Macaca mulatta: one gene and its partners. The protein of the gene in region 3 purifies or fractionates together with the protein of the main gene of each other region. This does not show direct contact. Links are inferred from orthologs where the notes say so. Each region holds a gene or a part of one and is shown on either strand. Other genes may lie near its edges. The genes, in order: TUBB, SNW1, EEF1A1, EEF1B2, EEF2, RBX1 and GAPDH.

The links.
Region 1: the proteins of EEF1A1 (region 3) and TUBB fractionate together in Homo sapiens (co-fractionation; 3 studies listed by BioGRID). This does not show direct contact. The link is inferred for Macaca mulatta from reciprocal best matches to the Homo sapiens genes EEF1A1 and TUBB.
Region 2: the proteins of EEF1A1 (region 3) and SNW1 purify together in Homo sapiens (affinity purification with mass spectrometry; 3 studies listed by BioGRID and IntAct, with this or other methods). This does not show direct contact. The link is inferred for Macaca mulatta from reciprocal best matches to the Homo sapiens genes EEF1A1 and SNW1.
Region 4: the proteins of EEF1A1 (region 3) and EEF1B2 purify together in Homo sapiens (affinity purification with mass spectrometry; 3 studies listed by BioGRID and IntAct, counting the BioPlex papers as one, with this or other methods). This does not show direct contact. The link is inferred for Macaca mulatta from reciprocal best matches to the Homo sapiens genes EEF1A1 and EEF1B2.
Region 5: the proteins of EEF1A1 (region 3) and EEF2 fractionate together in Homo sapiens (co-fractionation; 3 studies listed by BioGRID). This does not show direct contact. The link is inferred for Macaca mulatta from reciprocal best matches to the Homo sapiens genes EEF1A1 and EEF2.
Region 6: the proteins of EEF1A1 (region 3) and RBX1 purify together in Homo sapiens (affinity purification with western blotting; 3 studies listed by BioGRID, with this or other methods). This does not show direct contact. The link is inferred for Macaca mulatta from reciprocal best matches to the Homo sapiens genes EEF1A1 and RBX1.
Region 7: the proteins of EEF1A1 (region 3) and GAPDH fractionate together in Homo sapiens (co-fractionation; 3 studies listed by BioGRID). This does not show direct contact. The link is inferred for Macaca mulatta from reciprocal best matches to the Homo sapiens genes EEF1A1 and GAPDH.

Annotation. Positions count from the first base shown.
Region 1 is NC_133409.1:152,322,544-152,326,813, reverse strand, and holds the start of TUBB (tubulin beta chain), read left to right. Parts: upstream 1-1,470; 5' UTR 1,471-1,544; coding exon 1,545-1,601; intron 1,602-2,643; exon of another isoform or gene 2,644-2,927; intron 2,928-3,570; coding exon 3,571-3,679; intron 3,680-3,948; coding exon 3,949-4,059; intron 4,060-4,270. UniProt on the Homo sapiens protein: Tubulin is the major constituent of microtubules, a cylinder consisting of laterally associated linear protofilaments composed of alpha- and beta-tubulin heterodimers.
Region 2 is NC_133412.1:150,938,364-150,941,479, reverse strand, and holds the end of SNW1 (SNW domain-containing protein 1), read left to right. Parts: intron 1-1,687; coding exon 1,688-2,155; 3' UTR 2,156-2,616; downstream 2,617-3,116. Other genes in the region: SLIRP (SRA stem-loop-interacting RNA-binding protein, mitochondrial), read right to left, coding at 2,654-2,719. UniProt on the Homo sapiens protein: Involved in pre-mRNA splicing as component of the spliceosome. As a component of the minor spliceosome, involved in the splicing of U12-type introns in pre-mRNAs.
Region 3 is NC_133409.1:112,151,338-112,155,358, forward strand, and holds the start of EEF1A1 (elongation factor 1-alpha 1), read left to right. Parts: upstream 1-1,221; 5' UTR 1,222-1,234; exon of another isoform or gene 1,235-1,872; intron 1,873-2,180; 5' UTR 2,181-2,210; coding exon 2,211-2,354; intron 2,355-2,708; coding exon 2,709-2,888; intron 2,889-3,008; coding exon 3,009-3,305; intron 3,306-3,388; coding exon 3,389-3,539; intron 3,540-3,626; coding exon 3,627-3,883; intron 3,884-3,980; coding exon 3,981-4,021. UniProt on the Homo sapiens protein: Translation elongation factor that catalyzes the GTP-dependent binding of aminoacyl-tRNA (aa-tRNA) to the A-site of ribosomes during the elongation phase of protein synthesis.
Region 4 is NC_133417.1:111,412,107-111,416,221, forward strand, and holds the start of EEF1B2 (elongation factor 1-beta), read left to right. Parts: upstream 1-1,315; 5' UTR 1,316-1,640; coding exon 1,641-1,720; intron 1,721-2,240; coding exon 2,241-2,363; intron 2,364-2,999; coding exon 3,000-3,126; intron 3,127-3,529; exon of another isoform or gene 3,530-3,608; intron 3,609-3,688; coding exon 3,689-3,755; intron 3,756-3,881; exon of another isoform or gene 3,882-4,011; intron 4,012-4,115. UniProt on the Homo sapiens protein: Catalytic subunit of the guanine nucleotide exchange factor (GEF) (eEF1B subcomplex) of the eukaryotic elongation factor 1 complex (eEF1).
Region 5 is NC_133424.1:4,793,804-4,797,918, reverse strand, and holds the start of EEF2 (elongation factor 2), read left to right. Parts: upstream 1-1,315; 5' UTR 1,316-1,390; coding exon 1,391-1,393; intron 1,394-2,412; coding exon 2,413-2,627; exon of another isoform or gene 2,628-2,647; intron 2,648-3,441; exon of another isoform or gene 3,442-3,521; coding exon 3,522-3,703; intron 3,704-3,794; coding exon 3,795-4,006; coding exon of another isoform or gene 4,007-4,074; intron 4,075-4,115. UniProt on the Homo sapiens protein: Catalyzes the GTP-dependent ribosomal translocation step during translation elongation.
Region 6 is NC_133415.1:10,578,625-10,582,759, reverse strand, and holds the start of RBX1 (E3 ubiquitin-protein ligase RBX1), read left to right. Parts: upstream 1-1,335; 5' UTR 1,336-1,356; coding exon 1,357-1,434; intron 1,435-3,871; coding exon 3,872-3,950; intron 3,951-4,135. UniProt on the Homo sapiens protein: E3 ubiquitin ligase component of multiple cullin-RING-based E3 ubiquitin-protein ligase (CRLs) complexes which mediate the ubiquitination and subsequent proteasomal degradation of target proteins, including proteins involved in cell cycle progression, signal transduction, transcription and transcription-coupled nucleotide excision repair.
Region 7 is NC_133416.1:7,484,571-7,488,600, forward strand, and holds the start of GAPDH (glyceraldehyde-3-phosphate dehydrogenase), read left to right. Parts: upstream 1-1,230; 5' UTR 1,231-1,273; exon of another isoform or gene 1,274-1,365; intron 1,366-1,542; 5' UTR 1,543-1,559; coding exon 1,560-1,588; intron 1,589-3,263; coding exon 3,264-3,363; exon of another isoform or gene 3,364-3,386; intron 3,387-3,444; coding exon 3,445-3,551; intron 3,552-3,673; coding exon 3,674-3,764; intron 3,765-3,854; coding exon 3,855-3,970; intron 3,971-4,030. UniProt on the Homo sapiens protein: Has both glyceraldehyde-3-phosphate dehydrogenase and nitrosylase activities, thereby playing a role in glycolysis and nuclear functions, respectively.

The DNA of each region.
Region 1 (4,270 bases), about 40 Mb from region 3:
AATACATTGATCTGCCCGCCGCGGTGGCTCACGCCTGTAATTCCAGCTCTTTGGGAGGCTAAGACGGGCGAATCACGAGGTCAGGGGATTGAGGCCATCCTGGCTAACATGGCGAAACCCTGTCTGTACCAAAAATACAATATATATATATATATAGATAGATATAGATATATATATATAGATATATAGATCTGTGTGTAATCGAATGTGAATGAACAATGATGTTGACTTGATACTACATTTCTGAGTGGCCAGACTGCAACATCCTGGAGGACAGGGAACTAATTATTAATCATTTTGTAACCATAGTTCCTAATTTGGTGGATACATAGTAACTATCAAATAAGTGAATAAATCTCTGGGAAGAAGCTGGTGGACTCTGTCTTGAGCCCATCCAATTTTCCCCCATCAATTTCCCCTCTCTCCTTTTTCAATACTGGGTATCTTGCAGAGTTGCAATGGCGGCCACCTGGTCAGTGAAATAAGCGAATTGAAAAACCACTGACTTCATTAACATGTCTAAAAAGGTAGGCTGAAAAAACTGAAAATCTATCAGGCATCTCATTCCATAGTTCCCTGTTTGACAAGAAGATCAAGGTGTCTTCAAAGTCTGCCCTAAGGCCCAGATCTCCTACGTGGATGGAGACTTCTAGTTTCACAAATCCCCGATGTCGGTTTCTCTAAACTATTTTATTCTTTGAACATACTCTCCAGACAACATCTCTATCCTGAAAAGCCCTTGCTGCAATTTTGTTTCTCTTTCAAAACAATGACTCGAAAATTTCCAAGGAAATAGCAAGAGGGCGATTCCCTTCTTGAAGTATTTGAGAGAGCAGAAGCTTACTTAAGTTCATGACTTGGGTCACCAAAGGCCAGAGGTAGCAGAGCACGGTGCCACACTCCTCCCCATTTTTCGCTGAGCTAAGCAATTCTGTCTTCCCTAGAGGTACTGCAGCTGGGAGCTTTTAGGGCGTACCTCACCACCCAACTTCTGGAACCCCAGACTTCTCAATCCCTGCATCCCCGAGAACTGCTCACTTTTTGTACAAAAACCTCAGGCACAGAGGAAAGGAATCTTGCGCAAGGTCGTTTTTCATTTACAAAACAAAAACCCAACAAAAACCAAACCGGTACCCACCCATTCGTCACTTCATTTTGCACCGTGAACAACAATAGGGGACTACAACTCCCAAAGAGGACTGCGCTCGTCCACTGGCTCAGAGGCCAATGGACGCCTGGTACATGACCGGCATCGACTAATCAGGGCCAGGCTCGATGAGGCTTTGTCTCCCGACCGCGCGCGGGGCCGATTCTCCCGCCTCCCAGCCCCGGCGCACGCGCGCCCCGCCCAGCCTGCCTTCCCTCCGCGCCCTCCCCTCTCCTTTCTCCCTCTCAGAACCTTCCTGCCGCCGCGTTCGCACCTCGCTGCTCCAGCGTCTGGGGCGCGTTCCAACCTTCCAGCCTGCGACCTGCAGAGAAAAAAAATTACTTATTTTCTTGCCCCATACATACCTTGAGGCGAGCAAAAAAAATTAATTTTAACCATGAGGGAAATCGTGCACATCCAGGCCGGTCAGTGTGGCAACCAGATCGGTGCCAAGGTAAGAATTTTACACCTCTTTTATTTCTTTTTAGAAGGAAAAATCCAGGTAAGTTATGAAAAAATGGTTGTGGGGCATTTGCACTCTCCATTCTTAATCAAGCTTTGCCCCTCCCAAGTTTGTTACATTTATATATATAATAACTAGCATTTGCTTTTGGAAAACTGGGAATCATTTTTCTTGGCAGGCACATTTTGGAGAAACTAGTAAAAGGGCTCTTCGGGTTTCGGGGGCGGGAAGACCAAGGACATATGTTACTTAAAAGGGCTTCTAACGGTCCAAGAACCGGGCAGGGAGAGAGATGCGGAAACAGTCGGAGACAAAGCGGGGCGAGGTTTTGCCCATGTGCATCCCGCCCAGCCCCCCCTGCGGGGTTCTTAGGGCCAAACGGGAGCGGGAAGGGGTGAGGCTGTCGGGCGGCTGCAGAGAGCTCCAGTGCAAAGGTCGGGGGGCGATGCGCCAGGGTGGGCTGCGCTGGGCGCTACCATTCACAAAAGATCAGGGACCCCAGCGCGCCCGCGACCCCGGAGGGCCGGTCCTGTAGTTGTTCCGGGGTGGAAGGAGAATAAGAACGGGATTAATTTTTCTTGCTTTCATGGCACCTAAGCGAGACCTCTTTAGGGCGTGAACTGATATGTCGAGAAAATGGGGGTGTGTGGTTTTCTTTAACGAGTCCTTCAGGACTTAATGGGAGAGAAAGAATGCTTTAAATCAAGGGGGAGAAATCTAGCAAAGGAATAAAATTCCGAGGCCAAGGGTTTTTTTTTTTTTTTTTTTTGCGCGCGGTTACAGTGTAGCGGGGGAGGGGCGGGAGGAAGTGCGGGTGCTACGTTGTAGCAGAAGGGCGGGGCCCTGCGGGGCGGGGCCAGGGCGCCGCTGGCGCGCGGGGACAATGCGGCGTTGCCCGCCGGGAGGGGCGCGCTACCCTGGGCCCCGCCCCTCGCGCGGAATTCTTGCCCCTGGCCCCGCCCACGTGCGAAGTCCTTTGTCGGCGGCTCGACCTGCGCGTGCGCCGCAGTCACGTGGAGGGTGGGGGGTGGTCGACTGCGGCAGCAGCTCTTCTAGTGCCCCGAGCCTTTTGTGCGCCGCGCGGTGGGGCGGTGCCCAGCTCGGGGGAAGAACAGCGGCGCTTATCCAAGTATGGTCGACCTCCATCCGCCCACCGAGCACTTGGGACCCGCTGCACATAATCCCGAGCCGGGAAAGCTGTGGCTTTCCCGGGGGAGCGAGTGTCTAGGGGAAGGGTGTGGCAGGCACACGGGATGCCAGGCCCTAGAACAACGGCCTGAGCGCGTGTGGGATTAAAATGGGAGATGTGGGGCTGAGGCGGGCTAATTGGGATCGCTCCCGCTCAGGGGTTTGAGACCATCCTGGGCAACAAAGCGAGACCCCTCCCCCCGGCCACATCTCTTCAAAAAAAAAAAAAAAAAAATTAACTGGGTGTGGTGGCGCGCGTCTGTGGTCCCAGCTATTCGAGAGGCTGAGATGGGAGGATCGGTTGAGCCTGGGAGTTTCAGGCTGTAGTGATCCGTGATTGCACCACTGCACTGCAGGCTGGGCAACAGAGGAAGACCCTGTCTTAAAAATTAAAAGAAGCTGGGCGCGGTGGCTCACGCCTGTAATCCCAGCACTTTAGGAGGCCGAGGTGGGCGGATCAAGAGATCTAGACCATCCTGGTCAACATGGTGAAACCCGTCTCTACTAAAAATACAAAAAATTAGCTGGGCGTGGTGGCGCGCGCCTGTAGTCCCAGCTACTCCGGAGGCTGAGGCAGGAGAATCGCTTGAACCCGGGAAGCAGAGGTTGCAGTGAGCCGAGATAGCGCCATTGCACTCCAGCCTGGCGACAGAGCGAGACTCCGTCTCAAAAAAAAAAAAGAAAAAAGTTAAGAAAAAGATGAAATAAAATGGTAGTTGGGGACGTAGTTGACTGGGACTTGACTTGTGGTCTCGTTGCTCCTGCCCGGCAGTTCTGGGAGGTGATCAGTGATGAACATGGCATCGACCCCACCGGCACCTACCACGGGGACAGCGACCTGCAGCTGGACCGCATCTCCGTGTACTACAATGAAGCCACAGGTAAGGGCAAGAGCCCGGGCAGCTCAGGTTCCCCTTCCCTGTCTCCCACTTCTCTGGGGTCTCTTTCCATTCCTGGCACGCCTTATCCCCTTTCGGTGAATCTATCATTTTCTCCCTTTTGTGAACCACCGTCGGGGCCAAAGACGTCTGCTGCCACCTGGTGGCAGGACCTGGAACAAGTCTTGGGTCCCTGCTGTCTTCCATTCCCAGTGTATCTATAAACCTTTCCCTCTGCCAGATCTCACAGCTCTTAACTTTATTCTTTGTAGGTGGCAAATATGTTCCTCGTGCCATCCTGGTGGATCTAGAACCTGGGACCATGGACTCTGTTCGCTCAGGTCCTTTTGGCCAGATCTTTAGACCAGACAACTTTGTATTTGGTAAGTTATACAGATGATATTAGCAGATGATATACTATCGTGTTCAACTTATTTGGGTGCAAGGACACAGCAAAAGTTAGGAGATGATTGTTGTACTGGAGTGCTAAGAACTGTATTCTGAAATCTAATGGAGGGTAGAGGTAGGGTAGAGGTAGTGCCTGCTGTTGCTGGTACATTATGGGGCAGTGGGGGGAGAATACATCACAGTGAA
Region 2 (3,116 bases), on a different chromosome or scaffold from region 3:
ACTGTACTCTAGCCTGGGTGACTGAGACTCTATCTCAAAAAAATAAAATAGAGCCAGTGTCCTACAAAAGTTCCTCTTGGGTTTTTTGTTGTTCATTTTTGGGTTTTTTTTTTTTTTTTAATGCTATAGAAATATGTCAATTTGGGAATCTTTTAAAAATGAAGCTGTAAAACTGGATTAAAGTACTAGGCTGGCTGTCAGGAAATCTGATTTCTAGTACCAATTGCCATTAGCTAACTAGGACACTTTAAGCCTGGGAAAACACAAGGCGGGTGCGTGCACACACACACACACACACACACACACACACGGTAAGAATACAAAGGTGTAAGTTCTACTGGAAAGTGGAGTGGGAAACTTTATGACTTGGAGGTTTTAAGTAAGCTCTTCTAAGTGATAATTTATTAGGTGCATTTTATATTCTTGGCATTGTTCTAAATCTTGTTATTATCTCAATTCTTACAAAAATCCTTTGAAATAATACTATTCTCTCATGTTATAGATGAGGAAATTGAAACACAGGTTTACCTTGTGACTGATGGAATTAAGATTCAAGTCTTGATCTCAAAGCTTTATTATTACTATTTTTTTTTGAGATGGAGTCTCACTGTCACCCAGGCTGGAGTACTGTGGCGCCATCTTGGTTCACTGCAACCTCCACCTCCCAGGTTCAAGGGATTCTCCTGCCTCAGCCTCCTGAGTTGCTGGGATTATCACAGGCACATGCCACCACGCCCGGCTATCTTTAGTAGAGACAGGGTTTCATCATGTTGGGTCAGGCTGGTCTCAAACTCCTGATCTTGTGATCCTCCCGCCTTGGCCTCCCGACGTGCTGGGATTACAGGCGTGGGCCACTGCGCCCAGCGCATTTCAAAGCTTTCTTAACCACTATACAAAGGCAGCTTACCAGCTGAGCAAAGGGATCTAGGGGTGAAATTTCACGTAAGTAAAATATTTTCAAGATAATCACCTGTTAGAAGCTTAAGCTTAAAACATTTAAAAATTGTGATGAAAATATTTCTGGCTGGGCACTGTGGCTCACACCTGTAATCCTAGCACTTTGTGAGACCTAGGCAGGCAGATTGCTTGAACCCAGTTTAAGACCAGCCTGGGCAATATGGCAAAACCCTGTGTACAAAAAATTAGCTGGACATGTTGGCACACACCTGTACTCCTAGCTACTTGGGAGGCTGAGGTGGGAGGAACACTTGAGCACAGGGAGGTTGCAGCTGCAGTGAGCTTATATAGCGTTTTGTGAGACCAAGGCAGGCAACCACCTGAGGTCAGGAGTTCAGGACCATCCTGGCCAACATGGTAAAACCCTGTCTCTACTAAAAATACAAAAATTAGCCGGGTGTGGTGGCACGTGCCTGGAATCCCAGCCACCTGGGAGGCTGAGGCAGGAGAATCGTTGGAACTGGGAGGCAGTGGCTGCAGTGAGCCAAGATCACGCTACCGCAGTCCAACCTGGGTGACAAAGCAAGACTCCGTCTGAAGAAAAAAAAAAAAAGAATCCAAAGTTATGAAGTTTATGTGCTAGCAGTTTTTTAATGAAGACCTTTAATTTGCAGTTCAGATTGTTGAAAATGTGAGCTACAAATTAGCAAGGGTTTACTGTAAACATGTTATGATTCAGCTTTTGATAAAGTGTTTACACTTTTATTTAATGTCATCCATTTTTCCACAGGGTATGGACAGTGGATTTGCAGGTGGAGAAGATGAAATTTATAATGTTTATGATCAAGCCTGGAGAGGTGGTAAAGATATGGCCCAGAGTATTTATAGGCCCAGTAAAAATCTGGACAAGGACATGTATGGTGATGATCTAGAAGCCAGAATAAAAACCAACAGGTACCAATCCATACAACTCAATTTCAGTGTTTACACTGGTGAAAGCAAAGTAGTTCATAGTCTTTTCTCTTTTTCCCTAGATTTGTTCCCGACAAGGAGTTTTCTGGTTCAGACCGTAGACAGAGAGGCCGAGAAGGACCAGTTCAGTTTGAGGAAGATCCTTTTGGTTTGGACAAGTTTTTGGAAGAAGCCAAACAGCATGGTGGCTCTAAAAGACCCTCAGATAGCAGCCGCCCCAAGGAACATGAGCATGAAGGCAAGAAGAGGAGGAAGGAGTAGACACAGGTCTCTTCATAGTGAATGAACTATTACCCATTACCCTAATGATGCAAGTCATACGGGGGAACACTTTGTAAATGGTCAGGATAAAAAACAAATCTGGGTGTCGGATCCCAGCACTACTTTTTATTACTGGAGAATGGGGGGGAGATAGAAAATTCTACTTTGAATTACTTAGTTTTTTTAAAGAGTGGGTTGTGTTTGTGCTTTTCCCACCTTTCAGCATTTATAGAACATGCTGCCCCACATACAAAGTCAAGACCACTTCCTTTTGTGTGACACTAGTAGTTTGGGGTTAATATTTTGTGTAAGAACAGCTGCATATGAGTAAAGTTACCCCAACCACAGTGAGGAGGATGTTCACATACTGGAACTATCCTGCCAAATAAATTTTGCCCCTGTTGTGCTCTGTTTTAATTTGGAGTGGGCAAAGTAACCTCTTGCTTGGTGCAACTATTTGTTTCAAATAAAAACATTTAGACAAAATTCTCAGTTATGTTAACTTTATTAATAGGCTGCGGTCTCAAAAATCTTTCTCTTCATCATCAGATGTCGGCAGAACTTTTGGCTTTTGAGCTTGAACCTGGACCTGAAAAAAATAAGCACTGTAAGGAAGGAAAGGCAATGTTTGCAAAAACATTCAAACTGAAAATCGCTTTTTTATTAGGGAATCAGTATGAATAACTCAGGCAGTTTTTATTTGTACCTTGTTCTTTTGTTTTCTCCTCAAATTCCTTTTACCATCTTTCTTGATATTATGACTCCCTAACCCTCAATTAAAAATTGTAAATCAGGCCAGGAGCAGTGGCTCAGGCCTGTAATCCCAGCATTTTGGCAGGCTGAGGCAAGAGGATTGCTTGAGGCCAGGAGTTCAAGACCACCCTGCAACATAGCAAGGGCCTGTCTCATTAAAAATAAATTTAAAAATAAAATAGTAGATCAATTTGGCCCAAGATCACATGGTGGGAAAGCCAAGATTTCAGCCC
Region 3 (4,021 bases):
AAAATGCAGTTACAATCTATAGGATGACAGAAAAAGAAAGCACTTATTTAAATATAATAGGCACTTATTTAAATAGGAGAAGCTGTGACTTCATAGCAAGTGTTGGGGTTAGGAAACTGGGTGGATAAACTTGCTGATGCTGTAGATCTTAGTCTCTACATGAGATCACGTGGAAAATCTGAATTTGAAAGCTTTTTAGCTTCCTTATGTTTGCAATCAAATGACTGTACACCTTTTAATTTAAAAAGTACCATGAGGCACACACACACTCGCAGGAACTTTTTGGCGTAACAAAACTAGAATTAGATCTAAAGCTAACTGTAGGACTGAGTCTATTCTAAACTGAAAGCCTGGACATCTGGAGTACCAGGGGGAGATGACGTGTTACGGGCTTTGATAAAAGCAGCTGGCTTTGAATGGAAGGAGCCAAGAGGCCAGCACAGGAGCGGATTCGTCGAGCTCACGGCCATCGAGCCGAACCTCTCGCAGGTCCGTGAGCCGTTAAGGAGTCCTCCAGTCCAGACCCTTCGCCCCAAGCCCCTCGGGGTCCCCGGGCCTGGTACTCCTTGCCACGCGGGAGGGGCGCGGAAGCCGGGGCGGAGGAGGAGCCAACCCGGGGCTGGGCTGAGACCGGCAGAAGACGACGCTCTAGGGATTTGTCACGGACTAGCGAGATAGCAAGGCTGAGGACAGGAGGCTGATTGGGGGGCGAAGGTACACCCTAATCTCAACACAACCTTTGGGGCTAAGCTAGCAATGGTAGAGGAAAGATTCTGGACGTCCCTTCCAGGCCGCCACCTCGTCGCCTCCCCCTCCCCCTCCTCTTCCCCCCCCGCCCCGGCCGGAGCTGAGAGTAATTCATACAAAAGGACTCGCCCCTGCCTTGGGGAATCCCAGGGACCGTCGTTAAACTCCCACTAACCTAGAACCCAGAGATCGCTGCGTTCCCGCCCCCTCACACGCCCGCTCTCGTCATCACCAAGGTGGAGAAGAGCATGCGTGAGGCTCCGGTGCCCGTCAGTGGGCAGAGCGCACATCGCCCACAGTCCCCGAGAAGTTGGGGGGAGGGGTCGGCAATTGAACCGGTGCCTAGAGAAGGTGGCGCGGGGTAAACTGGGAAAGTGATGTCGTGTACTGGCTCCGCCCTTTTCCCGAGGGTGGGGGAGAACCGTATATAAGTGCAGTAGTCGCTGTGAACGTTCTTTTTCGCAACGGGTTTGCCGCCAGAACACAGGTAAGTACTGTGTGTGGCTCCTGCGGGCCTGGCCTCTTTACGGGCTATGGCCCTCGCGTGCCTTTTATTACTTACACGCCCCTGGCCGCTGTACGTGATTCTTGATCCCGAGCTTCGGGTTGGAAGTGGGTGGGAGAGGTCGAGGCCTTGCACTTAAGGAGTCCCTTCGCCTCGTGCTTGAGTCGAGGCCTGGCTTGGGCTCTGGGGCTGCCGCGTGCGAATCTGGTAGCACCTTCGCGCCTGCCCCGCTGCTTTCACTAAGTTTCTAGCCATTTAAAATTTTTGATGACCAGCTGCAACGCCTTTTTCCTGGCGAGATAATCTTATAAATGCGGACCAGGATCTGCACACTGATATTGGGGTTTTGGGGGCCGCGGGCTGCGACGGGGCTCGTGCGTCCCAGCGCACATGTTCGGCGAGGCGGGGCCTGCGAGCGCGGCCACCGAGAGTCGGACGGGGGGAGTCTCAAGCTGGCCGTCCTGCTCTGGTGCCGGGCCTCGCGCGGCGGTGTGTCGCCCCGCCCTGGTCGGCAAGCCTGGCCCGGTCGGCACCAGTTGCGTGAGCGGAAAGATGGCCGCTTCCCGGCCCTGCCGCAGGGAGCTCAAAATGGAGGACGCGGCGCCCGGGAGAGCGGGCGGGTGAGTCACCCACACAAAGGAAAAGGGCCTTTCCCTCCTCGGTCGCCGCTTCATGTGACCCCACGGAGTACCGGGCGCCGTCCAGGCACCTCGATTAGTTCTCCGAGCTTTTGGAGTACGTCTTCCTTAGGTTTGGGGGAGGGGTTTTGTGCGGTGGAGTTTCCCCACACTTGGTGGGTGGAGACTGAAGAGTTAGGCCAGCTTGGCGCTCGATGTAATTCTCCTTGGAATTTGCCCTTTTCGAATTTGGATCTTGGCTTATTCTCAAGCTTCAGACAGTGGTTCAAAGTTTTTTTCTCCCATTTCAGGTGTCGTGAAAACTACCCCTAAAAGCCAAAATGGGAAAGGAAAAGACTCATATCAACATTGTCGTCATTGGACACGTAGATTCGGGCAAGTCCACCACTACTGGCCATCTGATCTACAAATGCGGTGGCATCGACAAAAGAACCATTGAAAAATTTGAGAAGGAGGCTGCTGAGGTATGGGAAAGATGAACTAAAATGAGTTTTACCAGCAGAATCATTAAGTGGTAGTGATTTCCCCAGAACTAGTGAGTGGTTTAGATCTGACCCTACTTATTAAAATAGTTTGCTTTTGGTTACTTCTGTAACCGTATTGCTAGTGAGTAGTTTCGATTTGGATATTAATAGTCAAGATCCTACTTTAAAAAGTTTGCTTTTTGGTTGCTTCTGTAACCCTATCTAAGTGACTAAAATTGCTTAGGACTTGCAGTTGTAAAGTGGAAACTATGTGCCAATTAAGGGCTGGGGGCAAAGAAATTGAAGCTGGAGTTTGTGTGTTAGTAACCAAGTAACAACTCTTAATCCTTACAGATGGGAAAGGGCTCCTTCAAGTATGCCTGGGTCTTGGATAAACTGAAAGCTGAGCGGGAACGTGGTATCACCATTGATATCTCCTTGTGGAAATTTGAGACCAGCAAGTATTATGTGACTATCATTGATGCCCCAGGACACAGAGACTTCATCAAAAACATGATTACAGGGACATCTCAGGTTGGTGGGATTAATAATTCTAGGTTGTTTTTTTTTTTTTTTTTCCCTGAAATGCCTGTCTTGTGCATTGGTTTTGTCCTTTGGAGAGTTGACAGGGATATGTCTTTGCTTTCTTTAAAGGCTGACTGTGCTGTCCTGATTGTTGCTGCTGGTGTTGGTGAATTTGAAGCTGGTATCTCCAAGAATGGGCAGACCCGAGAGCATGCTCTTCTGGCTTACACACTGGGTGTGAAACAACTAATTGTTGGTGTTAACAAAATGGATTCCACTGAGCCACCCTACAGCCAGAAGAGATACGAGGAAATTGTTAAGGAAGTCAGCACTTACATTAAGAAAATTGGCTACAACCCCGACACAGTAGCATTTGTGCCAATTTCTGGTTGGAATGGTGACAACATGCTGGAGCCAAGTGCTAACGTAAGTGGCTTTCAAGACCGTTGTTAAAAAGCTCTGGGAATGGCGATTTCATGCTTACACAAATTGGCATGGTTGTGTTTCAGATGCCTTGGTTCAAGGGATGGAAGGTCACCCGTAAGGATGGCAATGCCAGTGGAACCACGCTGCTTGAGGCTCTGGACTGCATCCTACCACCAACTCGTCCAACTGACAAGCCCTTGCGCCTGCCTCTCCAGGATGTCTACAAAATTGGTGGTAAGTTGGGTGTCAACAAAGTTGAATTTGAGTTGGTAGAGTACTATCTTCCTTCATAGGTATTTAGTATGCTGTAAATATTTTTAGGTATTGGTACTGTTCCTGTTGGCCGAGTGGAGACTGGTGTTCTCAAACCCGGTATGGTGGTCACCTTTGCTCCAGTCAACGTTACAACTGAAGTAAAATCTGTCGAAATGCACCATGAAGCTTTGAGTGAAGCTCTTCCTGGGGACAATGTGGGCTTCAATGTCAAGAATGTGTCTGTCAAGGATGTTCGTCGTGGCAACGTTGCTGGTGACAGCAAAAACGACCCACCAATGGAAGCAGCTGGCTTCACTGCTCAGGTAACAATTTTTAAAGTAACATGTTCCTACCTTATTGCAGAGGCTAAAGTCATTTGAGACTTTGGATTTACACTGAACGCAAATCTTTTTTTCCAAGGTGATTATCCTGAACCATCCAGGCCAAATAAGTGCTGGCTA
Region 4 (4,115 bases), on a different chromosome or scaffold from region 3:
GCAGTGACCTCGGACTGAAATGTTCTTCCCTGGCCCCTCCTTATCCTTCAAATCTTGGCTTCGAAGCCTTTTCTCAGTTTCATTGACCAGCCTATCTAACATTTCCTGACGATTCCCCAGAATATCACCCATTTTATTCTTCTTTACGGACTCATTTCTGGCTCGTAGTAAACGTTCAGTAACTGTTAAGTGAACTGAATCTCTAATTTCTGGTCGTTAATTTGTAGGGACCACTTTCCCGGATTTAAAAAGTGCAGGTGCTCTGGCAGCGTTAAGTCGGTGAAAACAAGACTATTCCGCAAAACAAAAATAACCTGTTTATTCATCAAAAAGTTATTGTTACACTTCTATACTGTCAATTCGTGTGTGAAGTTGTGTCTGATCCAAGACCTCACAGTACAAGCATAGATCCCAATAACTTGTAAACAATATTTTGTTATTCGCAATGCAACCCTGAGCTAACTTTTCAAAAAGTCATTTTTCTCAATTTCCCGTTAGTGAAAGGAATTTAAAAATTCTGTCCAACGTGGTCAATGGACAAAACAAATAAGGACAACAGAAGCGTGAGCCACTGCTAACACAACAGCGACCAAACAATCATGTACTGTACCAGGCGTGTAAAAATCTGGGGGAAAAGGCTCAGTCTTAAGGCTTAAGTCATCGGACACTGGTCCTCTACCGGGGAATAAAACGGCCTCCTCTGAGAGGGGAATGTCCTGAATTTTCCCTGCAGAGGGAAGGTCACCTACAAGCCCGCATTCGGGCCAGCGCTCCCGAGGGCCCCCTAATCCTCATCTTCCTTTCTGCTCCATCAGACCAGAGACCGTGGCTAAAAGCCCCACTTGCCGGCTCTCAGAGGCTTCCGAGGCGGCGGGGCGGGAGGCGGCTCCCAGTCAAGGACAAGAGAAGACTAAGTCGCGTGGGCCAAAGGAAACAGTCCCGTCAATAAATAAGCCTCTGACCCATGCACCTCACCCTTCCCATCCATACAAGACCTCACCTTCTCCCCGGAGCCGCGGAGGCTGTTCTGCTAAACTGTCTGGACCACAACTACCCCCTTGGAGGCCGGGTCGCTTACTCAATATGGCGGCCTCAGCTAACTCTGTCAGCCGGGCCTGGAGAACGGAAAGCCCGGAGGGACTAGAATCCTTGCATTCGATAAGTTTGTCGGCAATTTCCGTCAGCCGACCAGAGGGCGGAGCTGAGGTCGGCCCAGCCCGGAGGCGGGAAGGACAACTTGGACCCGCAGTTCCGCCGGAAGTGGCCGGCAGCCTCGAGGCCGAGCGTCTTCGGTCATCTCCGGCGCTTCTAGGGGCGGTTCCCGTCATCTTCGGGAGCCGTGGAGGTATGAACTTAAGACATGCCCATTTTATTAATTTATTTCCAAACGCAACGAAAGATCCAGGGACAATTTGTGAGCCGTTTAATTCAGGGCCCCCAATTCGTACGTGGAGAAGTGGGAATGCTAACGTACTTTGACCTTTAACCTTCGGTCCGGCGTGGTGGAGGGAAACGCCTCCGTCTCTATATAAGGAATTTTCCGGCTTCTCCGGGCCCTTTTTCCTCTCTTAAGCGCGGGGAGCCCACAACTTGTGCGCTCTCTTTCTGCTGTTTCCCAGCTCTCGGATACAGCCGACACCATGGGTTTCGGAGACCTGAAAAGCCCCGCCGGCCTCCAGGTGCTCAACGATTACCTGGCGGACAAGAGCTACATCGAGGGGTGAGCGGACCGGCTGAGTCGGGGTGGTGGAGGGGTTTCTGGGACCGGGGCCGGGGCCACGTGGCGCAGCGTGTCGGCTGCCGCTGGAGGGAGGGAGACGGGGCCCCAGGGCCCTTTCGAGGATGACGGGAAAGCGCCCCGTGGCCATCTCCCAAGGCCCTCGTGTGGTGCGAGCCCGGCCTCCGGGGAGCGGCTCACGAGCAAAGGAAGGTTAAAATGTGCTTTATTTACACTTAATTCAGCCAGGTGTTTCCACATCGCTGCCCAGTTAATACATGTTAGGTTGTAGATAGAGCAACGTTAGAGATTGCAGTATTTGAGGTCTGCAGACATTTCTCAGGATAGCGCGGTGACCCAAACATATGGTTTGATTTTAAGGAGATAATAAGAAAAGAAAAGCATTAAAGCAACCCTACTGGAGTTAGTGCCCACTAATTAATGTGATGCATAGGCACTGATTATTTATTCGCTGGCGTTTGTTTTTCAAAGGTGTGTGTGAATGTCTCTGTGTCATTGGCAGGTATGTGCCATCACAAGCAGATGTGGCAGTATTTGAAGCCGTGTCCGGGCCACCGCCTGCTGACTTGTGTCATGCCCTACGTTGGTATAATCACATCAAGTCCTACGAAAAGGAAAAGGCCAGGTAAAATCATCTTTGTATCTAGCTGAAGAATAAGACTACTCTCGAAGCTTTATCAGGATGTTCACATGACAAAACTAGACCCAGGCTACTTTAGTTTTGTTGGGGTATTGTAAGCTAAATTTTTCTGTAACCTGAGAAGGCCAAGAGACTGAAGCCCTCCATTTTTTCACAGAACAGGTAGAACATGGACAGCAGCAATTCAACTTTTCCCCACACTGCCCTGCCAATGTGCCTCGACCTTGACCTGGGGGGCCCACCTCTGGGGTGAGAGGGTGGCTCATTCATTCAGTCCTTGGCCATTCTTCTGAAACTGCCAACAAGGGTGGAAGTTTGGGGAAGTGGACTCCAGTTCACTAAGAATGGAACTGAGCATACTTAATGAAATCTCAAACAGAAATGTTCATACTGAAAGAGTAAATCATAGTGAGTATTGAAAATAATGTCTCACATGGTACTAATGCTTGTCGGGTGAGGAGTTGAACATATGATAGTGTTTACCTGGGAGCATGTGAAAGGGTAAATTATTATTGCAAAAGGGATCTAGTGATAAGTAGTGATTAAAACAAGTTATTTTGTATTGTCTGGAAAAGTATGTTATACTAGCTCAATAGTGGTTGAATTTAAATGTTTTTCAAGCCTGCCAGGAGTGAAGAAAGCTTTGGGCAAGTATGGTCCTGCTGATGTGGAAGACACTACAGGAAGTGGAGCTACAGATAGTAAAGATGATGATGATATTGATCTCTTTGGATCTGATGATGAGGAGGTATGGCATCTTCTATAAAGAATATATCGGCCAGACACGGTGGCTCACGCCTGTAATCCCAGCATGTTGGGAGGCTGAGGCGGGTGAATCACGAGGTCAGGAGTTCAAGACCAGCCTGACCAAGATGGTGAAACCCTGTCTGTTCTAAAAATTTAAAAAAATGTGGCGGGTGTCTGTAATCCCAGCTACTCAGGAGGCTAAGGCAGAGAATTGCTTGAACCTGGGAGGCGGAGATTGCAGTAAGCCGAGATCATGCCACTGCACTCCAGCCTGGGCGACAGAGCAAGACTCCGTCTCAAAAAAAAAAAAGAATACATCGATCAGCAATTTTATCAATGTGGTTAAGCCAAATTGCCTGGATTTGAATCCTGGCTTTAACTTATATGCCTTTTTCAAATTCTGACTGGTTGCATGATGAATAAAATCAAATCACCATCTTTCGGCTGAGTTCGTGATGGATTTGCTTTTTTCTGATTAAGCCAGTCTTTTTTGTGATGACCCCACTAGCTTTAAGCAGATGACAACCGACTTTCTGAAGTGGATTAATTTTTTTTCTTTACAGGAAAGTGAAGAGGCTAAGAGGCTAAGAGAAGAACGTCTTGCACAATATGAATCAAAGAAAGCCAAAAGTAGGTCATTTGTTTTTAACTTCATTTCATGATAATGTAAGTAATCTTTTTCAAAGCTTGACCTTTAAGTAATTTCCTCCACATTCCTTGAACAGGTCAATATTTTAAAACCTCCTGTAGAAGTTCTTCCACAGCTACTGGTCTGCAGCTGTTCTTATGGTAGCAGTTGTGGCATTCCTCTGTGGGAAAGAAACTGTTAACACAAACACCTCTTTCTTAGCAAAACAGAAAGTGGGCATATGTGTGACAGACACAAGATGTATCTGTAGTTTTGTTTGGCTAAGGAGATAGTCAATCTCAAAACAAATTGAGGTGATTTGTTTGTGTCTTGGAGTAAGGTAAAAAAATACAGTTCATTAT
Region 5 (4,115 bases), on a different chromosome or scaffold from region 3:
AGCAATCATCCATTAAATGAAAACCAAGGTTGAGACAGCGCTTTGTAAAGCAAAGTGCCCGAAGCATTTGTGAGGGGGAGGAGTGTACAGGTTTATTTTAGAGTCCAGGCTGGAATTTGCATTGCTTTTTGTGGATCCACACCTCCCCCTCTCTCAGCCCAGGAAAAGCACTGCAGTGGCTCTTCTGTTTCACAAAGTGAGTTTAGGGAAAGACGTGCCGCAGGGGGTTCATTTGCACTGCGAGAACATCATTCATGCAAGAAATACTGAGTACCTACTATGTGCTAAACAGCGGGCTGGGCTTTTCATAAGGAATAGAGATACTCAATTGAATGCCAATTCATGAGCTATGAAACACATTCAACTGTTTCTTAGGGTCAGATTAGGACACAAATGCTAAACAGTCTTCCTGCGCCTCCCCCTGGAGAGGAAATGAACTAGAAAATGAAATTGTGCCAGTAAAGCGCTTAGCCGGGTGCCTGGGACATGGCAAACCAGTCCTGAAATAAATGTTTTATTAATAGCAATCTTAGCTAATTAAAATACATAGCGTTTATTGAGCGTTGGGTATCAGGCACGGTGCTAATTCTTTTAGATGTCTTTAGTTCGTTTTAGCCCACCTCAAACAAGAGTGGTATTGATCACCTCCGATTTACAGACGAGGAAACTGAGGCAAAGAGAAATCTTAGTAGTTAGTAGAAGTGCACGCAGTGTGGTCAAGCTAGCAAGGTGTTTTGTCCACTGCTGTATCTACAAAACCTCTAACAATGCCTGGTGCATAGATGCTCAGTATGCATTTGTGGGATCAGTGATTCCGATGCCTGCTTCTTATAAATCTTTTTATTTTGAAATAATTGCAGGTAAGGAGTTGAAAAACAGTATAGTGGTCGCGAGTGTCCTTTTTCCTTCTGCTTCTCCCAGGGATATCGGCTTACATAACAACGCCCAAACCGGGAAATTGACTTGGGTAAAATCCACAGACTCTATTCACCTTGCAATGTGGCTTTAATAGAAGTGCTGGACATTTTGTAAGCTGATATCGTTGCTATGGTTCTTATTCTCAGCTAAAACGGCGCTCTTTGCTTTGTGCACCTGAACACTGCATACCGAGGGCGACCACCATCCCCGAGACGCCCAGACTGTATCCTAAAGCAGCCTCGCCAGCGCCGAATGGGTTAACGGGGGAGGTGTGCGGGAACGCCTCCGTGCGCTTGCGCGGCGTCGCTTCGCCCCGCCTCCGCAGCGCAGTCACATGACCCGCCCAACCGGCGTCCGCCTATAAAGTGCTGAGTGTTGACGTCAGCGTTCTCTTCCGCCGTCGTCGTCGCCATCCTCGGCGCGGCTCGCTTCATTCGGTTCTACCTGGGAGAATCCACCGCCATCCGCCACCATGGTGAGTAACCCTGCCTCGCTGGTGTCCCGGAACGGCGGCGGGACCTCCGCGGGGCCGACGCTGCCTAGACGCTGGGGCCGCCCGTGCCGGGAGGAGACGTAGCGGCGGCAGAGCCGGAGGAGCCGGGGCTGGGGCAGCGGTCGCCGCCATGTCTGTGCGCCGCACTGTTCACGGAGCCCCTTCTCCGCTTCCGGGGGCGCCGTAACCTTGCCCAGACCTGGCTGGAGCTGGGGTGTTAGGGAGGATGGGGGTGGGGTATGATGATGTGGCAGGCGTTGTAATGGCGGGCACCGCGGTGGAAGCGGGGAGACGGGGAGGCGCCTTATGTAACTCGCGGGCCGCGAGTTTGAGATCGATTTTCTGCCGGGGGACTAGGGGCGGCAGGGAAATGGCAGAACCAGCAAAGCGACACCTGAAAGGTTCCCCTTTTCCTCCCAAATATCTTCTCCTGATGCTGTTAACTGTCGGCCCTAGGCGCTTGTCCTTGTGACTCCGAAATGTGCAAAGACTCGTTTTGAGACACGAGGTGTAGGCTTGTGGCTGTTAGGGCCGTTCCGGCTCCCCGTTATCTCCTGGGGTGGGTGGCCTTGTGTGATCCCTCTTGCCGAGGGGTGACCTTGCATTTTATTATGACAGTTTTTGGTCGGGGAAGCCTGGGTGGCCCAATGACAACGTGGAGGGGGCTTTGGGAGAAGGTTCACCCCTTACGTGTTTGGCCTCTAATAACTCTTTAGTGTTTATATTCGGTATCAAGGAAATCTGTTGCCACTGAGTTTTATTTCTGAGCGCTTTTATTTCTGGGTTGTCCGTTCTGGATGACATCTGTTGACAGTGGATCCTTGGAGATTGTGGGGTAGTTCTCAAGGCGTGTTAGGCTGGCAGGATTGGGTGGGCTTCGGGTACCCCAACACCAGTCCCCTCCTGGCCTTGGGCATGCTGGTTCGTTTGGACCGAACGCTCCATGCCAAGCCGTGTTCCTGGAAATCTCGAGCTGGTCTGAGCCTCCCCTTCTTGCCCAGGTGAACTTCACGGTAGACCAGATCCGCGCCATCATGGACAAGAAGGCCAACATCCGAAACATGTCTGTCATCGCCCACGTGGACCACGGCAAGTCCACGCTGACAGACTCCCTGGTGTGCAAGGCGGGCATCATCGCCTCGGCCCGGGCCGGGGAGACACGCTTCACTGACACCCGGAAGGATGAGCAGGAGCGTTGCATCACCATCAAGTCAACGTGAGCTCCCTGTGCCCTCTGTACCCAGGCAGGGAGGTGCTGGCCTGGCAGCTGGAGGCCACTGGGCCAGGGTGGGCGGGGAGAGACTAGGCAACGTCTCTTTCTCCTGGTTTCTTAATTCATGGGAGAATGAGTGAGGTTCAGTCCAGCGAGACGGGGATTAAGAGTCACAGGGATTGGGGGTACTGCGAGCCGGAAGATTTTCTTGAGGAGGGGCTTCACTCAGTGGTTCTCCTTCCCTGGGGGACTTGCCGCCACTCCTACAATATCTGGAGGGGTTTTGCTGTCACACCTGGAAGGGGGGGTGTTTCTGGCACTCAGGATGCGGAAAGCTCTTGTGTTGCACTGGATGGCGTTCATTCCGTGACAGTTTCTGGCCCCTGACGTGAGTGGGGTGAGAGTCTAAAACGTGAGCGCAGAGCACAGTGATCCCAAATGCCTTTTGTCCTGGGTTGGCACCATAGTGAGGGTCTCTGGCTAAAGCTCTTCATTTTCACTGGAGCAGGGGCAGAAGTGAGGAGGGAAGGGTCAGAGTCTCTGAAGGCTTTTGCTGTCCTGCGGGGTCTTTTCATTGCTACTTTGAGTCAGGTGTGATGAGTCTTGGGGGGACCAAGTCGGTGGGGCAGAGTGTCTGGTCAGGAGGGCTCTGAGTCGCTGGCTGTGGGGCTGGTACCAGGAGTTCCCTGTGGGGGGGGCGGGGGGCCTGTCTTGGACAGAGTATTGTGGAGGCAAAGGACAAGGGTGGGTTGGGTCTTGTGGGTGGGTTGGGTCTTGTGGGAGCCTCTCAAGGGATGAGTCATGGAGGGAGGAGCAGCCTGGCTTCTGACAGGATCCCAGCCTCCCTGGGCCAGGTGTGTGCATCCTGTCCCCCTGATGGATCCCTCCCTCCATCAGTGCCATCTCCCTCTTCTACGAGCTCTCGGAGAATGACTTGAACTTCATCAAGCAGAGCAAGGACGGCGCCGGCTTCCTCATTAACCTCATCGACTCCCCCGGGCACGTCGACTTCTCCTCGGAGGTGACCGCTGCCCTCCGAGTCACTGATGGTGCATTGGTTGTGGTGGACTGCGTGTCAGGTAAGCAGCGGGTCCCCCTGAGGCAGGGCCTAGAACCCGGGGCCTTCCCTGTTTGAGGATGACAGCGCCGCCCCGTGCCCTGCATCCCTAGGCGTGTGTGTGCAGACGGAGACAGTGCTGCGGCAGGCCATTGCGGAGCGCATCAAGCCTGTGCTGATGATGAACAAGATGGACCGTGCCCTGCTGGAGCTGCAGCTGGAGCCCGAGGAGCTCTACCAGACCTTCCAGCGCATTGTGGAGAACGTGAACGTCATCATCTCCACCTATGGCGAGGGCGAGAGCGGCCCCATGGGCAACATCATGGTACGGCCCTCCCTGGCTGGGTGGTGTGCCCGCCGCAGTGGGCACCGCAGGAGCTGGCGGGGAGCGGAGTTGAGCTGAGGGGACTGGAAGTGTGTTTTTGCCAGGAATG
Region 6 (4,135 bases), on a different chromosome or scaffold from region 3:
GAGAGTGACACAAAGTACAGGTGCTTGGGTCGGGCGCGGTGGCGCACTCCTGTGATCCTAGCACTTTGGGAGGTCGAAGTGGGAGGATCGCTTGAGCCGAGGAGTTCGAGACCAGCCTGGGAAACAGAGTGAGACCTTGTCTCTATTTAAAACAAAAAAAAATCGGCTCTAGCCTGTAATTCCAGCACTTTGGGAGGCCGAGGCAGGCGGATCACCTGAGGTCAGGAGTTCGAGACCGGCCTGGCCAACATGGTAAAAACCCGTTTCTACTAAAAATACAAAAGAGCCGGGCGTGGTGGCGGACACCTGTAATCCCAGCTACTAGGGAGGCTGAGGCAGGAGAATCGCTTGGACCCGGGAGGTGGAGGTTGCAGTGAGCCGAAATCGCGCCAGTGCACTCCAGCCTGGGCAACAAGAGCGAAACTCCGTCTCAAAAAAACACCCCAAAAAGAATGCTTCACAAAAATTAAAGAAATACAGCGACTGCAGATGGGTCGGTTTCACTATAGCACAAGTAGCGGAAAGAGGACACAGACTGGGGAGAAATCACCCTACACAAGATGACAACTGAGGAATGAGAAGTGGGGACTGACACACGCCACGGTGAAACCGCGCACCACGACCAAAGGCGGTCCTAGGACTGCGACTAAGCGGGCGCAGAGGCCACCCTCCAGGCTTGGCGGGGGGATGAGGGCAGCACTGGGGGCCTGCTCAGTCTGGCCTTAGGGAGGACCTTCGGGGCTCTCCTCTCTCCCCATCGATCCCTGAGCAGTTCCCGAACAGAAATCGGAGACCAGACGGTGCCTGGGCCCCAGCCCTCCCACGCGGACTGCGCCTTGGGCCTGGCTCGGAGGTGGGTCAGAGTCTGCGAAAGACCAGCGAGGGCTCTCAGGTTTCGGGGCAGGCGGCGGGCGCCCACCCCGGCTAGCAATGGGAGTCGCGCGGCGACCGGGCGAGCCCGGTAGGCAGGACAGGACTGCGGCGCAGGTCCGACTCAGGCGGAGGAAGCAGCCGCCGCCCCAGCTGATGGAGTGCGGCCGGGGGCTTCCCAGAGGAGGCGGCGACCTCGAGCCCTTTCGAACGTTTCTACCAGGCTAGCTCACGTAGCCTCGGCCCCGCCCGGCCCCGCCCCGCCCCACCCACTCCGGCCACCGCCCCCTCCCCGGCCGACACTTCGCGGGTGGGGCGACTTGCGATAGCCCCTTTAAGAGGCGTGGTCACGTGCTCCGCCCCCACCTCCCCCACGCGCGCCAGTAAGGGGTGGGGTGCGGGAGGAGGTGCCGGGGAGGCTGGGGGAACGAGGTGTGCGCTGCTGCGCAGGCGCGGTGGTCGGACGACAGACCGTGTGTTTCCAAAATGGCGGCAGCGATGGATGTGGATACCCCGAGCGGCACCAACAGCGGCGCGGGCAAGAAGCGCTTTGAAGTGAAAAAGGTTGGGTCTCGCCAGCGCCTTCCTCAGGGAAGCTAGAGAGGCGCGGATCTGGCTGGCAGGCCCGAGGATGGTCGAGGCGCGGAGTAAAGGGTTTCATTTTAGGGCGTTCCTGGGACCGGGTACCACGAAAGGAAGTCGGGGGGCGGGCCTTAGAGTTGATCGGCGTGACGGCGGCCCACTGTCAGGGGAAGTGTTGGTTTCGATGTGAGGCTGAGGGGCCAATCACAGAGCTGCTTGTTGAGATACGCGGGGTTGCGACTTGGCGGCGGGAGCCAAGCGCCTGAGCTGTCACTGGAGTGGTTGAGAGGTGGGGGAAGGTAGGGTGGGGTGAGGTAGGGTGGGGTGGGGTGGGGTGGGGTGGGTGGAATGGGGAGTCAGAGCGACTGCGGCGGTGGAGGATGGGGCAGTGCGGCGAAAGCCTGGAACCTGAGGTCCTACCGCATTGGAGGCCTCTGAGGAGCCCCGCTAGTGATCTTGCTCCGCCCCTTTTTGAAGCTTGCTTGGGGTCCTCTCACTTGAAGGGATCAGACTTGTTCCTCGCTGAACCGAGGCCTCCATTAACCCCATCTCTGGGCCTCACACCGCCGAGTTAGAGTCTGGAGTGTAATGCTTGGGTGTTCTGAGACGTCTGTTGGCTTTTCCCACAACCACCCCACTCTTGGATTCTCTGTCACGTTCAGAATCTCCCCCTTCCGAAATAATAATAAAAAGCACGGTGGAACTTGTTAAGAAAATCCGAGCCCAAATCCTGTGGCATTTCGGAAGGGTTGAGTACTAGTTGCGAATGACTTGGTAAGAGGGGAAAGCAAAAATGGAACGTGTCTTTTGCATGAAATGCATTTTAGTGGTTTGCCACAGTTTGGGAGAAAAGTGTCGATTCCCACCTAACATGAAAACTATTCGAAATGGAGATTCTGAAATAGGGAAGATATTCCTGGAACATCTGGCTAAACACTGACAATATCCCCCCCCTCCTAGTGCTTTTTGGTGTCTCATTGTGGCCACTGCTGCTCAGTTACAGCCAGCCATATTGAAGAATAATAGAAGTAGGGGCTTTTCCTCCAAGTTGAAGCTGTGATGTGAAAAGTGGTGAAGAAGTTACTAGGCACTGAGACTGGGGTTTGAAAGCGATGAAGGTTTGGGAGTACTTGTAATTGAGGAAACCAGAGTTGAATGAATGAAATGCCACTTTTAATTAAACTCTTACTGGAATTATTATCTTTTTTTTTTTTTTTTTTTTTTTTTTGAGACGGAGTCTAGCTCTGTTTCCCAGGCTGGAGTGCAGTGGCCGGATCTCAGCTCACTGCAAGCCCCACCTCCCGGGTTCACGCCATTCTCCTGCCTCAGCCTCCCGAGTAGCTGGGAGTACAGGCGCCCGCCACCTCGCCCGGCTAATTTTTTTTGTATTTTAGTAGAGACGGGGTTTCACCGTGTTAGCCAGGATGGTCTCGATCTCCTGAACTCGTGATCCGCCCGTCTCGGCCTCCCAAAGTGCTGGGATTACAGGCTTGAGCCACCGCGCCCGGCCTGGAATTATTATCTTAATAGAAGAGTCTAAACATATAAAAGTTCAGAACATCAGTTTATTTTATGGTAAGAATCGAACAAAATTCTAGTGAATTGTAGAATTTGTTATGAAGTAATCTAAGATTTAAGTGATGACCTTGTTCTGTGTACTGACATGGGCAGTTAATTATCCAGCTTATCCCACGATTACCTGTTTTATGATCCAGTCATCATCTTAGTTCATTCTGTTCCCTAGCTTTCACTTCATTGCTCATGCTTCCAAAGCTGCCTGGAAGAGCAGATACTTATTCAGATTTTGAGCGCTTCTGCAACTGCCACCAAAACCTGCACAGAAATTCAAGTTTGTGCTTTTTTTTTTTTTTTTTTTTTTAGATGGAGTCTCACTCCATCGCCCAGGCTGGAGTGCAGTGGCACGATCTCGGCTCACTGCAACCTCTGTCCCCCAGATTCAAGCGATTCTCCTGCCTTAGCTTCCCAAATAGCTGGCATTATAGACACCCGCCACCAAGCCTGGCTAATTTTTGTATTTTTAGTAAAGACGGGGTTTCGCCATATTGGCCAGGCTGGTCTCGAACTCCTGACTTCAGGTGATCCACCCGCCTCAGCCTTCCAAAATGCTAGGATTATGGGCGTGAGCCACTGCGTCCGGCCAGACTAAATTGTTTTAAACTACAGGAAACAAAAGATGACATTCATTTATGTCTTCATATACTCAGTCTTTTGGAGAATAGGAGAACGTATGTGTTGTCTACTGTTGTCTTTGGTATAATAAGATTAACATAATATCCAAAACCTTTTGTTTGGTGGTTCCTTGTGGCCAGAGATCATAACTACAACTGCAGCCTGAAGTCCTAAAAACTGTGTGTGTGTTATAAGGAGAATGCATTGTTCCCTCTTTTTGTCTTTGCAGTGGAATGCAGTAGCCCTCTGGGCCTGGGATATTGTGGTTGATAACTGTGCCATCTGCAGGAACCACATTATGGATCTTTGTAAGTAATTGGAGGAGGATGGGAGGAAGTTGAGAAGGTTGCAGAGCTTGTGGCTATCTTGATGTGACCGATTTTCTTCTTCACAAGCAGATATCAAGCCTACTCTGAGCACTCGGTCTTCTGTATCTAGTCTTTTGGTGTGTTTGAAATAGAGTAGTTTTTTTATGATGTCCTGGAGGCATACC
Region 7 (4,030 bases), on a different chromosome or scaffold from region 3:
CCCATGCACCTGCTGATGGGCCAAGGCCACCCCACCCCACCCCCTTCCTTACAAGTGTTCAGCACGCTCCCATCCCACACTCACAAACCTGGCCCTCTGCCCTCCTACCAGAGAAATGGATACCCTGTGGGAAGGGGCAGGGGGCCTGTTCCCACCATGTGCCCAAGACCTCTTTTCCCACTTTTTCCCTCTTCTTGACTCACCCTGCCCTCAATATCCCCCAGCGAAGCCAGTGAAGGGGAGTCCCTGGCTCCTGGCTCGCCTGCACGTCCCAGGGCGGGGAGGCACTTCCGCCCTCACGTCCCGCTCTTCGCCCCGGGCTGGATGGAGTGAAAAGCACACTGTCTCTCACCCTAGGCAGCACAGCCCACGGGGCTCCAGGAGTGACTTTGTGGGAGGCCTCTGGGCCCCCACCAGCCATCCTGTCCTCCGCCTGGGGCCCCAGCCCGGGGAGAGCCGCTGGTGCACACAGGGCCTGGATTGTCTGCCCTAATCATCAGGTCCAAGCTACAGGGCTGCAGGACATCGTGACCTTCCGTGTAGAAACCTCCCCCTCAAGCCGCCTCCCGAGCCTCCTTCCTCTCCAGGCCCCCACTGCCCAGTGCCCAGGCCAGGCCTCGGTCCCAGAGAGGCCAGGAGCCAGGAGATGGGGAGGGGGAAGTGGGGGCTGGGAAGGGCCCACGGGCCCCTCCTAGCCCTTTGCTTCAGCTATTCCGGTGTCACTACCGCAGAGCCTCGAGGAGAAGTTCCCCAACTTTCCCGCCTCTCAGCCTTTGAAAGAAAGGGGAGGGGGCAGGCCGCGTGCAGCCGCGAGCCGTGCAGGGCTCGGGCTCCAATTCCCCATCTCAGTCGCTCCCAAAGTCCTGTTTCATCCGTGCGTGTAAGGGCCCCCGTCCTTGACTCCCTAGTCTCCTGCTGCCCACACTCCAGTCCTGGGAAGCAGCACCGATCACCTCCCATCGGGCCAGTCTCAGTCCCTTCCCCCCTCCGTCGGGGCCCACACGCTTGATGCGTGCCCAGTTGAACTAGGCGGCTGCGGAAAAAAAAAAAGAGCAGGGAGAAAGCAGGGCCCCGCTACTCGCGGTTTTACGGGCGCACGTAGCTCAGGCCTCAAGTCCTTGGACTGGGACTGGCTGAGCCCGGCGGGAGGCGGGGTCAGAGTCACCGCCTGCCGCCGCGCCCCCGGGTTTCTATAAATTGAGCCCGCAGCCTCCCCCTGCGCTCTCTGCTCCTCCTGTTCGAGAGTCAGCCGCATTTTCTCTTGCATCGCCAGGTGAAGACGGGCGGAGAGGAGCCCGGAGGCTAGGGACGGGCCTGAAGGCGGCAGGAGCGGGCGTGGGCCGGACGTGTTCGCGCCGCTGCGGGGTGGGCGCGGGCCAGGGTCCGGGTCCGGGCCCGGGCTGCCTCCGCATTGCAGGGGCGGGCGGAGGACGTGATGCGGCGCGGGCTGGGCATGGAGGCTGGTGGGGGGAGGGGAGGGGAGGGGAGGCGTGGGTGTCGACCGGGACCACTAGGCGCTCACTGTTCTCTCTCTCCGCGCAGCGCATCCCTGAGACACCATGGGGAAGGTGAAGGTCGGAGTCAACGGGTGAGTTCGTGGGTGGCTGGGGGGCCCTGGGCCGCCCGCAAACTGCGTCTACGAGCCTTGCGGGCTCCGGGTCTTTGCTGTCGTATGGGGTAGGGTAGCTGCGTCCGGCAAGGAGAGCTCAAGGTCAGCGCTCGGACCTGGCGGAGCCCCGCACCCAGGCTGTGGCGCCCTGTGCAGCTCCGCCCTTGCGGCGCCATCTGCCCGGGGCCTGCCTTCCCTAGTCCCCAGGAACAGGAGGTCCCTACTCCCGCCCGAGATTCCATCCGACCCGGACCCCTAGCTGGGGACGCTTTCTTTCCTTTCGCGCTCTGCGAGGTCACGTGTCGCAGAGGAGCCCCTCCCCCATGGCCTCCGGCACCGCAGGCCCCGGGATGCTAGTGCGCAGCGGGTGCATCCCAGTCCGGAGGCTGCGCCTGCGGTAGAGCGGCCGCCATGTTGCAACCGGGAAGGAAATGAATGGGCCGCCGTTAGGAAACCCTGCCGGTGACTAACCCTGCGCTCCTGCCTCGGTGGGTGGAGTCGCGTGTGGCGGGGAAGTCAGGTGGAGCGAGGCTTCCCGGCCCCTGCTCTCAAGTCGGCCCCTGAGCTGCAAGCCCTATTTCCCCTCCGGGTGATGCTTTTTCTAGATAATTCTCTGGTAAATCAAAGAAGTGGGTTTATGGAGGTCCTCCTGTGTCCCCTCCCTCCAGAGGTGTGGTGGCTGTGGCTTGGTGCCAAGCCGGGGGGAGCTGAGTCATCGGTAGTTGGAAAAGGACATTTCCACCGCAAAATGGCCCCTCTGGCGGTGGCCCCTTTCTGCAGCGGCGGCTCACCTTATGGCCCCCCTCTTCCCCTGCCAGCCTAGCGTTGACCCCACCCCAAAGGCCAGGCTGTAAATGTCACCCGGAGGATTGGGTGTCTGGGAGCCTCGGGAAACCTGCCCTTCTCCCCATTCCGTCTTCCAGAAACCAGATCTCCCACCGCACCCTGGTCTGAGGATAAATATAGCTGCTGACCTTTCTGTAACTGGGGGCCTGGGCTTGGGCCGTCTCCCATCCCTTCTCCCACACACATGCACACACCTGTGCTCCCACTCCTGAATTCTGGAAAAGAGCTAGGAAAGGACTAGAAGCTTGCAAATTAAAGCCCTGGGACTAGGGGGTTAAAAAACAACTTCCCCTCTTCCCCCGGCCCAATCTCTGTCCCTTTTGTAGGCGGGTCTTAGAGAAGGGGTGGGCTTGCCCTGTCCAATTAATTTCTGACCTTTATTCCTGCCCTTTGAGTTTGGTGATGCTGAGTGTACAAATCTTTTCTCCTTAAACGGTGCAGTTTGAGGCTGAGCTAGGCAGCAGCAAGCATTCCTGGGGTGGCATAGTGAGGTGCTGAATGCCACGTGCAAAGCTTGTGCCCAGACTGTGGGTGGCAGTGCCCCACATGGCCGCTTCTCCTGGAAGGGCTTCCTATGACGGGGGGTGTTAGGCAGCAGTGGAGCCTTCAGTTGCAGCCATGCCGTAAAGCCAGGCCAGCCTGGCAGGGGAGCTCAAGGGAGATACAATTCACCTCTTAATGGAGGTAAGGAGATGTTGGGGGTAAGGAGATGCTGCATTCGCCCTCTTAATGGAGAGGTGTCCTAGGGCAGCTCACATACTGTGGAGAAGCCTCCCCTCCTCATGCCTTCTTGCCTCTTGTCTCTTAGATTTGGTCGTATTGGGCGCCTGGTCACCAGGGCTGCTTTTAACTCTGGTAAAGTGGATATTGTTGCCATCAATGACCCCTTCATTGACCTCAACTACATGGTGAGTGCTGCCCCAAAGCTGATGTGGGAGGAGCCACCTGGCTGCCAGGCAGCCCCTTCACACCCTTGCGTATTCCCCCAGGTTTACATGTTCCAGTATGATTCCACCCATGGCAAGTTCCATGGCACCGTGAAGGCTGAGAACGGGAAGCTCGTCATCAATGGAAGCCCCATCACCATCTTCCAGGAGTGAGTGGAAGGCAGTGGGAGAAATGTGCTGTGGGGGGCAGCTAGGGTGGTGCGGCTCCCTTGGGTACATGGTAACCTCGTGTCCCTCAATATGTCCTATCCCTGTCTCCCCCACCCCATAGGCGAGATCCCTCCAAAATCAAGTGGGGCGATGCTGGCGCTGAGTACGTCGTGGAGTCCACTGGCGTCTTCACCACCACGGAGAAGGCTGGGGTGAGTGCAGGAGGGCCCGCGGTAGGGGAAGCTGGCTCAGCCCTGCAGAGGCAGAACCCGGGTTTATAACTGTCTACTTCTCTGCTGTAGGCTCATTTGCAGGGGGGAGCCAAAAGGGTCATCATCTCTGCCCCCTCTGCTGACGCCCCCATGTTCGTCATGGGTGTGAACCATGAGAAGTATGACAACAGCCTCAAGATCGTCAGGTGAGGAAGGCAGGGCCAGTGGAGAAGCGGCCAGCCTGGCACCCTGTGGACACGCTCCCC